3 linked regions of the Rattus norvegicus genome follow. The protein of the gene in region 3 purifies or fractionates together with the protein of the main gene of each other region. This does not show direct contact. Links are inferred from orthologs where the notes say so. Each region holds a gene or a part of one and is shown on either strand. Other genes may lie near its edges.

What was found. Proteins that work in one complex are often made in the same cells at the same time.
Region 1: the proteins of Klhl22 (region 3) and Nipsnap2 purify together in Homo sapiens (co-immunoprecipitation; 3 studies listed by BioGRID and IntAct, counting the BioPlex papers as one, with this or other methods). This does not show direct contact. The link is inferred for Rattus norvegicus from reciprocal best matches to the Homo sapiens genes KLHL22 and NIPSNAP2.
Region 2: the proteins of Klhl22 (region 3) and Emc7 purify together in Homo sapiens (co-immunoprecipitation; 3 studies listed by BioGRID and IntAct, counting the BioPlex papers as one, with this or other methods). This does not show direct contact. The link is inferred for Rattus norvegicus from reciprocal best matches to the Homo sapiens genes KLHL22 and EMC7.

The regions. Positions count from the first base shown.
Region 1 is NC_086030.1:32,577,869-32,581,616, reverse strand, and holds the start of Nipsnap2 (protein NipSnap homolog 2), read left to right. Parts: upstream 1-1,313; 5' UTR 1,314-1,353; coding exon 1,354-1,430; intron 1,431-3,748. UniProt on the Homo sapiens protein: Protein involved in mitophagy by facilitating recruitment of the autophagy machinery required for clearance of damaged mitochondria.
Region 2 is NC_086021.1:119,717,558-119,721,296, reverse strand, and holds the start of Emc7 (ER membrane protein complex subunit 7 precursor), read right to left. Parts: upstream 2,886-3,739; 5' UTR 2,851-2,885; coding exon 2,618-2,850; intron 1-2,617. UniProt on the Homo sapiens protein: Part of the endoplasmic reticulum membrane protein complex (EMC) that enables the energy-independent insertion into endoplasmic reticulum membranes of newly synthesized membrane proteins.
Region 3 is NC_086029.1:96,733,462-96,737,209, forward strand, and holds the start of Klhl22 (kelch-like protein 22), read right to left. Parts: upstream 2,555-3,748; 5' UTR 2,524-2,554; intron 2,419-2,523; exon of another isoform or gene 2,185-2,418; coding exon of another isoform or gene 1,963-2,184; intron 1-1,962. UniProt on the Homo sapiens protein: Substrate-specific adapter of a BCR (BTB-CUL3-RBX1) E3 ubiquitin ligase complex required for chromosome alignment and localization of PLK1 at kinetochores.

The DNA of each region.
Region 1 (3,748 bases), on a different chromosome or scaffold from region 3:
CACAGGACTAAAGAACTGATGAAAATCCAGAGCAAAATGGCAATGGGGGTGAGGTGGGGATGCAGAAAAAAGGGAGGTCTAATGCTAAATAGCACAAAAGCAGAGTCATCAAAGAAATGCGTAAATGCAAGAGAGTTGAAACTCTTAACATACAAAGTTGAGTCAAGTGCAGTAATGTATACCTATGACCCCAGCACTGAAGTGGTGGGGGCAGGAGAACTGAGAGTTTGAGGCTATCCTGGATGAATAATGATCCTGTTAATAAACGAACTGAGTATGACGGCTCATGCAAGTAACCTCAAGATCCAGGAGGGTAAAACTAGAGGACCCAAGAACAGGACCCAAGAGTGTTTGTACACTTTGCCCTTGTGTTTGTACACTTAACTCTTGAGATTCTTCTAAACCCTCGGAGTATAACTTGTCCGATGCTCTGAATAAAGGCTATTGCTTGAGACTTTAGTCCACCTCACTTTTAGGCTCCATTCTCCCAGGTTCCATTCCCCCTCAGGAGTGGTTAACCATCGCTGTGAGGCTGGATTGGGCTCCACATAAAGACCCTGTCTCAGCTAACTTGGGAAGTTCACGGCAGTTCACAACTGTCTGCAACTCCAGTTCCAGGGGTCCCACACCCTCACACAGACATAGGTGCAGGCAAAACACTAGTGATGCGCATAGACTAGGAAGAGAAATTTTAAAAAGATAAAGAAAACCATACCTCTTGAACTTCAAGATTACAGGTGGTAGAGAATCACCTCCCATCCCACTTCTTACCAGAAACTCACAGGCAGCCACCAATCTGTCTCTTGACCTTTGCTACTTGCTCCCCATTTCTCTGCTTCCTCGGGATCTAGCTCTGTTTCTGCCTACTCTTGTCTTGCTGAAGTTTCATGCTTGTATCCGTAGTTCTTTTATTATCCTCACAGAGTACATTTTCCCCTAGACCAGAGGTTCTCGGCTTTCCTGGTGCTGCTACACTTTAACACGTTCGTCATTTTGTGGGGACCTTCAACCATAAAATCAGGCTCTGGATTCTCCCATGCACAGTTCTATTCCTTTCTCGTGGATCTCCCCGTGGACAATCCAGCGCCAACCAGGTTCCTTTCTCACACCCATCTTGGGACACTGAGCTCCCCTCGCAGATCTAAGCTTATCTTCAACAACTACTTGGCGCGCCCCCTGGCGGCAGCCCCGAGGCTGCACGCTGCTCCCCCTAGCGGCCGCGCCCCTGCACTACAGCGGCCTAGCGCCCTGCCCCGCCCCGCCCCAGCCTGGTCGGCCCGGCCGGGGGAGGGGTCGCGGCAGCGGCGGCGTCAGCGACACCGAGGCGGTAGGAGCTTCAGGCTCCGGAGCAAGATGGCGGCGCGGGTGCTGCTCGCGCGAGGAGGCCTGCTGCGGCCAGCCGCCCCCGGCAGCTTCCTGCCCGGGCTCCGGTGAGCAGCGCCGCCCTTTCCGGGGCCCGGCCGGGGAGGGGCCGCCGTGGGGCGAAGGGCGCGGGGTCCCCGGGGCGGGGAGGGGACGCCGGGGGCCGGCCTCCGAGTCCCAGGCGACGGAGGGTTGGCGTGGCTGCAGCGCCTTCCCCGGGCCCCTTGGGGCTCAAGGTCACGGTCCTGCCGGCGCCGCCCTTGCCGGGGACGCCCGGGATCGCGGGCCATGTCCGCCCGCAGCCTCCGCGCGCTGCGCCCCCCGCAGTAGCGATGCCTCGCCCCAGGTCGCGAAAGAATGGCGGGTTCCCCCCAGGGAAGCTGCACCCCGAGGTCCCCACTCGGGACAGCCCTTAAATTTGAAAGCGGAGTGGATTAAAAAAAAAAAAAAAGTAACCGACGGTGGCGGAGTTCGCAGTTGAAACTTTTTCTTCTCCTAACCTCGGTGGAGTCTGTTCGGTTGTGTCCACCTGTCACCTTGACATCCCCACGTTTATTAAGTAACGAAAGGCCATCCGAATTTCCAGATTTGTTTTCCCTTCTTGCCTTCCTTTGTATTGTTTTTCATCTCTAAACTGTTTTCAGGATTTATATATATTTTTTTATGTATATAAGTGTTTGCCTACCTGGACGTCTATTACATATGTGCCTGGGGCAGCCAGAAGGTTTTGGATCCCCACTACCGGAGTTACAGCCTGTTGGGAGCCGCCATGTCGGGGTTGGGAATGGAATCCTCTGCTAGAGCAGCAAGTGTTCTTAACCCCTGAGCCATCTCTCCAGCCCCTATTTATTTATTTGTTTATTTGTTTATTTATTTGTTTGTTTATTTATTTATTTATTTATTTATTTATTTATTTATTTATTTATTTATTTGAGACAAGGTCTTGCTACATATATCCAGGCTGGCCTCGAACTTTCTGCAAACCTTCTGCTTCAGACTCGGAAGTACTGTAGTTTCAGGTGTGCACTACCGAGGCCAGCCTTGGCTAACTGAAATGTTGCCTTTGTTTTTTGTTTTTTGGGTTTTTTTTTTATATCTCTGCGTGCATGCACACGTGTGTTTGTAATTGATTTTTCTCCCACCAAGTGGGTCTGGGAAATTGTAGTTCATCAAACTTAGAAGCCAGTTTCTTTACCCCTTAAGCCATCTCAACAGCCCCGGAACTTTTCTTAAGATTTGTTTGTATGAGTGTTTTTACCTGCATATATGTATGTGTACCATATGCATGCCTGGGGGCCTACAAGGATCGGAAGAAAGTATCTGGTCCTCTGGAACTACTGTTACAGAAATAGTTGTGAGCTACCACATGGGTTCTGGTACTGGAACTCTGGTCCTCTTGGAAAGGAGCAAGTGGTCTTAACCACTGAGCCATCTCTCCAGTACAATGGGGGCACCATATAATATGACTCGTCTAATTTAGTGGCAATCTTAAATAGTGAGGTATGCATCTCACGCAGACATAGAGACAAGAGACACATCTCTGGGGGAAAAGTGTGTGTGGTCGCTTTTGTTTCAGGACCCATGCAACTTGTAGATGCAAATTATTTAAATCACCTGTAATATGGTTTCCAAATGAAGTGAACAGACAACTTCCCTATCTGTTGTTACTTAGCAAGCACTCTGAGCCCCTAAAGTTTGCATTTTGTTCCTTGGGAAACAGGCAGCTGAAACTCAAGGTGCTCGCTCAAGACCTGATGCTCAAAGTGGTAAAGCTGGTAAACTAGATTTGGACCTGCCAGGTACCCATACTTGGAGCCAAATGCTCTCTACCCTGTGAGTGCTTGAAGACACTCTCACCCTCCTCTCTCCCTTTCTGCCAATCCTCTCTGGGAGCTGTTCAAAGAGGAGGAAGAAAAGGGGGTCCAGAGTAGTTTAGAACCTTGTAAAGTCTGAGGTGTAGGCTGTTCAAATAGAAAATCCAAATATCTGGGCTATAGGCAACTGATGGTAATTAGCATATAAGAATGTTGATAGATACCTGGATTTCATTATTCTGTGTTTTCACTGAGTTTTTTTGGTGGTGATGGTTTATTGTTATTCTGTGGGTTTTTGGTTGGTTTGGTTTTTTGTTTTGGTTTTTTGGTTTTGGTTTTGGTTTTTTTTGGGAGGGTTAGGGTTTTTTTTTTTTTTTTTTTTTTTTTGTCTTTTCGGGGGATGGGGATTTGAGACACAGTAACCCTAGTTGTGCTAGAACTCGATCTATATATCAGGCTGTCAAGCCTGCCTCTGCTTCCCTAGTGCTGGGATTAAAGGCGTATACCACCACCTCCTGGCTTGTTTTTTTTTTTTTTTTTTTTTTCTGGCTTGTTTTTGTTTGTTTTGTTTT
Region 2 (3,739 bases), on a different chromosome or scaffold from region 3:
TAGCACTTCCAAGTTTCCAGTAGCCTATTCCCCTCCTTGTCCCTCTGGCAGAGGTGGCAGTAGTTTCTTGGTTGGTTTTGCTTTCATGTATTATTGGATAAATACTGTTGAGGCTGTAAGCTCCAGGGTACTGCACAATCTGTTTCTTCATACTAGGAAGAATACGCTGTTTTAACCTTTGATTAAACTCTATGTTTACTATTCTAATGTTAGTGCATATTCTGCTCTTTTGTTTTTGGAGACAAAAATTTTGCTATATAACTCAGGATGGCCTCAGACTCATGATGCTATCACCTCACCCTCGAAAGAGCTGGGACATAAATGTGGACATTACATCCAGTCATCTTCTGCTTCTTGATAGACCCTGACAGAAACAACTTCAAACGTTTTTTTCGAGCAGAGGGGGAAAAAAAGAAAGAAAGAAACTGATGACTATTCAACAAATAGAATCAGAATTACTGAAAGAAAAAGCAAAGTTGGGCATGATAGGAGACATCTGTGAACACAGTGAGGAAGTGAACACAGGAGGACAAGAGTTTGAGGATGATAAGAATCACACAGTAAAACTATACATAAAAAAAAAGTCAAGGACTAAAGAGATGGCTCCACAGTTAACAGCACTGATTGCTCAACAGGTCCTGATTTCAATTCCTAGCAACCACATGGTGGCTCACAACCATCTGTAATGGTATCTGATGCCCTCTTCTGGTGTGTCTGAAGACAGCTACAGTACACTCATATACATAAAATAAATAATTCTAAAAAAAACTTCACAAGTAGTACATAAACTTATAATATAAAAACAAACCAAAACCAAAGCCAAGCCAAAACAACAACAATAAAACCTGGCAACTACCTAACTGTCAGAAGACTGGAAAAGTAAATTGTGGTTTATCGTCATGTTATGATATAAAAAATGGCTTGACCATTTTAACCCATCTCCTCTCATCTCCATTTTTAAAGTCCAAGCTACTTCCCCAGAAACCAAAAGTACAGTCAAACTTGTGTGCTGTTATTCAAAACAGCTATAAGACTTATCCTACTTCCAACAAGACTATCACCATAAAAGTCATATCAATTCTCAACCAGCCCTTCTATATGAATAAGAGAATGTGAAGTAATAAAAATTGTTCATAAATATTAAATGAAAATTATGGTCTTATATGCTTTATTCTTAAAGACAAGTAATATGATTCTAAAAAGAGAAAAAAATTACTATAATACAATGGTTATTTTCTTTCTGTTGCATCTTTTTAAAAGAAAATATCTTGTTTATGTTTTCTTCAGTAAATATTTATTTATTTGTACTTGGGAGTCACTTCAGGACCTCTTGCATACAAGTGCCACCACAAAACTGTATCGCCAGCATTTGCTTCTTTGAGACAGGGTCTCAACTAAGTTGTTCAGAGTGTCCTTTAGCTTACAGTCTTCTGCTTCTGACTCCTCAGTAGCCAAGTTGTTAGGCCTGTGTCACTGTGCAAGGCTAAGCATAGCTAGCAATATAGAATATATTAAATTGTAAAATATCTTCAAAACAAAAATAGGTGTTTTTCAAACTGCTATATACTGCAGAAGTTGAATTTCAATGAAGCCTTATCTTCCCAATCTCAGTGGGAATTTATTATTAATGAAGCATTAGTTAGGATAAAATTTAAACAATACCCTAGTGTTAGAAAACATTAAACTACTGATTGTCAATTTGTCATTTTAATCTGAGGTTGAATATACCACAAGGGAACTTCAACAACCTGCAGAAATATGCAATTTAAACTTAAATGTCCACATTTAAGGTATGTGGTTTTCAGATATCATAAGTTGGTCTATAAAGCCTGCAAAGAAATATTTTCTTTCAGTTCATAGTTTCAACTCCAAATACTGGTGGCAAAATTTAAAACATCATATTCATGCCTAGAAGAGAGAAAACGGACTGCTGACATAGCGTCAAGAAATTCATCCCACCTTCCAATATAAAACACAAACTTAAAAACAAGAAAAGTACAATTATGTGTAAGGAATCTTAAGCAATCCTGGTCTGACTTAAATGACGAGTGAAATATCGCAAATCCCTCGACGAATTCAATCGTAAAAAGAACAATAATCACAATCTCGGGCCCAAAAAAAGCGCTCTTTGATTAGGGACTTCAGGGCCCATTAATTTTAGAAGCAGGACCATTAGCCTTACAGTCTATGTCGTCACTGGGAGCCCTTTGGGCTTTGACAATTCCCACTTGTTTAGCATCTTTCTACACAACACCAAGCTACCAGAAGAGTGACAGGTAGAAAGCAACCAGGTTCCAGAGACATTAGACAAAGTGCAAGGGGGCGGGGGTGGGGGCACTCAGCAGATAAATGGGCCCAAGTATGATCCGCCTCACACTGGGGCTAAAATGGGGCTACAAATAAATGACCCCATATGTTTCGGGCGCCTGGGACCACTGTCCGCCATCCTCGCTGCTGAAGTACCTGACTCCCTCTCAAGGTCTCCCAGCATAGACCGTTAGTGGCCCCGGTGCCTTCAGTTTTTGACAGCTACATTGCGGGTCCTGACAGCTGTCCCAGCTGGATACCCTTCCAGCGTCCGCCCAAATAGCTTTCCTGTTGCCCTCAGGATGCTCACTTAAGGAAGCCGACATGCTCTTCTCCGTCTACCAGCACTCGGGCCGCGGAGATCCAGTCCTGAGGCTTCACCCCTGGAACAACTGCACGTCCCTCGATCTTAAAACGATCTCCCAGGGCGACCCCACTACCTCCCGGGACCTCGGCAGCAGCCCCAGGCACCTCCGAGCTGTGGGCATCTCCTGATAATAATAGAAGCAGGATGAAAAAGAAACCCCACAGAGCACCCGCCATGACAGCAGCTCTGAAGAGTCAGGCCTACGGCCCCGGAAGCCCTACCCTGCCGCAAGGCCGCTCCAGCGGCCACCGCCGTCGCCCGCCGATGTCGTCATCACCACAAGCCGGATCTAGCATCGAGCTTGTCCACGCCCCCGGAGAGAAGTTAGGACAGTTGACTAATCAGGAGATGAGCTGCAGAACCGACGCTCTGAACCACCAGGGCTTAAAAGGTGGCAAGGCTTTTAAGCGAAATGCCAGAACGTCTAAGGTGAAGTAAAGGTGGAAGAGAGTGTATTGCTGTGGCGTCCACAGATGCAGGACTTATCGTGGGCGTAAAGGATAGAGACCGAGAGGGACCAGGATCTGAAGTGTTGAGTGCTGGGTCTGTAGCTAACACCCAGACATCTACTCTATCATTTTCTCAAGGTTCTTGCTAGCTATAACTATTCTCCTTTCTACTACAATCTCTGTAAAAAAAAAAAAAAAAAAAAGGAATGAACGAAGCTCTTGATGTAGAGTGGAAATGCAGAAATGTGGGCTGAAAAGGAGAGTGTGTGTGTGTGTGTGTGTGTGTGTGTGAGAGAGAGAGAGAGAGAGAGAGATCTATGTTTAAGAAGTACGTGAAGAATGTTTATTTTCATTCCTTTTTAATGCTTTGTTTATTTAACATACACAGATTGAAGACTGAGAAAGTAAAGCGCTCACTATAAATGGTCTCTGATGTACCTAATACACAGACAGGGCAAATGACAAGACCAACGGAAAACAGCATCTAGCAACCTTTCAGTTCTTTATTTACCAAGAGTGCCTCAACCCTGCTTTGTTTCTCACTGTTTTCTAGCTGATGGCTAACATTCTTTTCAGAGTTGATGCTTACCTCCCTTAAACACCTCAGTCATTGAGC
Region 3 (3,748 bases):
GATGCCTTCTCACAAGGCCCTAGAGATGGTTAGAGCTTATGTCTTGGCAACTGTTTCTGGGTTAGGATCTCTCCAGCCTGGAACTCTGCTGTAAAGTAATTCCTCCTCTCCTGACTTCTTCCTTTCCTTCAATCCATCCATTCCCCAGGACATGCATTCCCAATGGCATCTCCAGCCAGAATCCCTCCTAATTGGTCTGTTTTTGTCAGTTGCATGCTCCATTTCTACCTGAAACCTCCTAATCTCCATGATCTCTTTTCCTTCTTAAGCTTATGTTTTGTAAGATCCTTTGGTCTTGATTCTACTCCTGTATCTTGCACAGCCATCCCCTTATTTTTTCCAATGGCCACAGTTTGGAGTCAGAGCATAGAAATGTTGTTCCAAAGGATTTCCCTAACTCTCGCCTCATTACCCTGTGCCATCTCCCCACTTAATACTCAAAGGCTTTCTTCCTTCTCCTGCCTGCCACATTACCAGTTCTTAGACCCACAGGAACACCTGCAATCCTCTAACAGAACTATGTTCGTTTCTCATAGTACTATTCTGGCCATGATCTAGTTGATCACATCTACCTAGAGCCTTCATACAATCTCAAAAAACATGCTCTGGTAGGGAACCAGTCTTCTCTACCCTTGACAGTTTGTCTCCCAAGCACCTCAAGGTTAGTTTCTATGGCAATATCTGCTAACCAGACTCTGGCTGCTACCTTCAAACCTCAGCGTCCTGGAAGGCTTCCCCATCTGTGGATGATTAATTGCCTTAACAGACACTGACTAGGGGCTGGGGATTTAGCTCAGTGGTAGAGCGCTTACCTAGGAAGCGCAAGGCCCTGGGTTCGGTCCCCAGCTCCAAAAAAAAAAAAAAAAAAAAAACCAGACACTGACTCCCCCCCCCCCCCCCCGCAATGCACATGTTGGGGTGGTCTCCATTGCTGTCAGCTGAGCAGCCTGCCTGCCCTCTTGGAAATATCATCTACTCTCTAAACAGCCACCACAAAAACAAGTACAGTAAAACAGGATGGCTACTCCTTTGGATAGGCAGAGCACATTTACTAAGCTCAAGAAAAGAAATTCAGTACAACCAAGAGTGCAACAGCATCCAGGATCTCTGGTATAGTAACAGATCTGTAACTCCAGCACTCAGGAATGCTGATACAAAAAGATCACAAAGTTGGAAGCCAGCCTACAATATGTAGACTTGTCATAAATAAATAAGGAACAAGTAGGGTTAGAGAGAAGGCTCAGTGCATTTAACACAAAACTATTTGTTCAGAGAACTGGAGTTTTGTTCCCAGCACTGACATCCGGTCGAGATGCTCTCTGCTGGTCTCCAGAGCCTTCACTCCTTCACCCAGGTGCACATACAGACACTTGTTTTTTCAAGTGTCCTGTGTAACAGCCTTCACTGTCCTGGAGTTCTGTTGATCAGGCTGGCCTCGAACTCACAGAGATCTGCCGTCCTCTGCCTCCGGAGTACAGGGATTAAAGGCAGGTGTCACCACACCTGTCTTCACTCTTTTTAACGACAAAAAATTAAGGAGACTCTAGTGACTACATATCTTCAATATTCCTCTTCACTTTCCATTTGCTTCGGCTTATAACTTCATGCTTCTCACGCGTGTAAACACGCTTTATTTAAGGGCCCCTAGTCAAGATATCTGGGTTTCCTATCCAAACAGCCATACACTGAAACATATTTTAGAGGAATCTTCAACGAACATTTACTAGAAAGGCATCCTTAATCTTCTGTAGGGGCTCCCATTCAGTATCTGTCCTCAACTTATCCGTATCACAACGCAACATGTGCAACAAAAGAAAAACCAGCAGCTTGGAATGAGAAAGAGTGGGTCCTTATTTCCACGGGGGGGGGGGGGGGCGCGGAGAGTCTCCAAGAGGTGCTGACGTGCTCTGTGGCTAGTTCCCTAGAGCACTGACTAGGAGCATTTCGGGGATCAGGCCTTACCCTAGGAAGCTGCCGCGGGTAGAAGGTGGCCCCGTTGCGCCCGGACAGGTCCGTTCGTTCGGCCTGTACAGGATCTAAACTAGTACATCCCGGGGATTTTGCACTGACAGCGCGAGCTCTCCGGCTTCTCTCAACAACCGCAGCAGCGGCTGAAGAGCCTGAGGTCACGCCGGGAGCGGCAGCCAGGCCCGCCCTGCCGCCTGTTGCAATCCCTGCTCCCATAGCTTCGAGGGACCCGGACAGGCCGGAGGCCACACTCGGACCCACGACTGGCTATAGAGAGTGGTCGACTGGGCTGCGAGGGCCACGGTCCGCCTCAGCCACGCGCAGGCCTCCGCCAGCCCGCGCCACGGCGCCAGGCCCGCGCCGGACGCCCTAGGGTCGCCCGGCCGGGCCCCCGCCACGTCAGGCAGTCGCCCGCGCCCTCCCCAGGCGCCCGTGATACTTGGCCCGTATCCCCGCGTCCGCCGCTGTCCCCGCTCCCTCTCCCATCCCCGCGTGCAGCGCAAGCTCGGCGACGAAGGCCTGCCAGGCCCACACGGTTCATGCCTCGCAGCTGACCTGGTGCTGCCGCAAGCTGTGGCCGCTCTCGCAGCAGGCGGGAGGCGGGAGGCTGGAGGTGGGGGCGGAGCCTCACCGTCACGTGTGATGCTGCGCAGGCGCAAGTGGACTACAGGGGGATCGCTGCGGGGCGGGGCGGAGCGAGGCCGAAGAGCGGGACTGGGGCTACACTGTCGTTGGACCGCTGGTCAGGAAACGCCACCCTAGAAGTGCCTTTTGGAGGTGCAAATTTATGCCCTTCTTTCCCTTCCTCCTTGCCTCATTCTTACCCTCACTCATTCTCTCATAGCTTCTTTGCTTGCTTGTCTCTTCACACCTAATCACTTACCCTCTCCCTCATTGCCTCCTTCCTCCCCTCACTCTCCTCTCTCATTCATTTCGTTTCTCCCTGCATTATTTCCTTCTATTCCTCATCGCGTATTCATTACTTCACTCATTGCTTCACTTGTCCCCTCCTTCTCGCTTCTTCCTTGCTCCCTACGTCGCTCCTACCCTCTCGTTCATGCTGTCTTCATTTCCCTCATCCCCTTATTTATTGTCTGAGTTCTTCCCTGTGCCTCTTATTTCTTTCTTCACTGGCCCAGGCATTCGCTTGCTTGTTTCTTCTCTCACTGTACTTTAGACTTTGGAAGGTCGCTCGCCCAGTGCTTTCTCTGGAGAGTGAAAATAAGCAAGGCCTTTATGAACAAGTGTTGATTTTCCTCTTTTCTGAGACTCTAGAGTAAAATCTCAAAACTCAGCTGCCCCTAGCTGTCCTGAGGACACCCACTTTTCTCTGCCTCACCTCCAAGAGGATCACACTCTGAGGGGTGCATACCTATAGCAGAATCCCAGAGGATAGCTGTAGGGCCTTCTTACAAATAGATAGAAGGAAACTGTAGTTTCAATGTGGAGAATGAAAGATAGGGGAAAGATATCACTAAGGAAGCCTCCTCGTGAAAAAGAGGAGAGAAGAAGAAAGTGAATAAAAGAAAGGCTGTTTCAGGTGAACCCTGATTGATGCCTGGAGGCTAGATATGGACCCAGAAGAAAAGATATGGACCCTCTTTCTAGAGAAAGAGGCGCCCAATGTAGGTGGACTTCTACCTATCAGGGCTCCCTGGAGCAAATGACAACACAGCTGGGGACTTTCAGACCATGATAAAAGTATTCTAGCAAGGGATGGTATACATATATAGAATACTTTTATCATGGTCTGAAAGTCCCCAGCTGTGCAAATACAAGG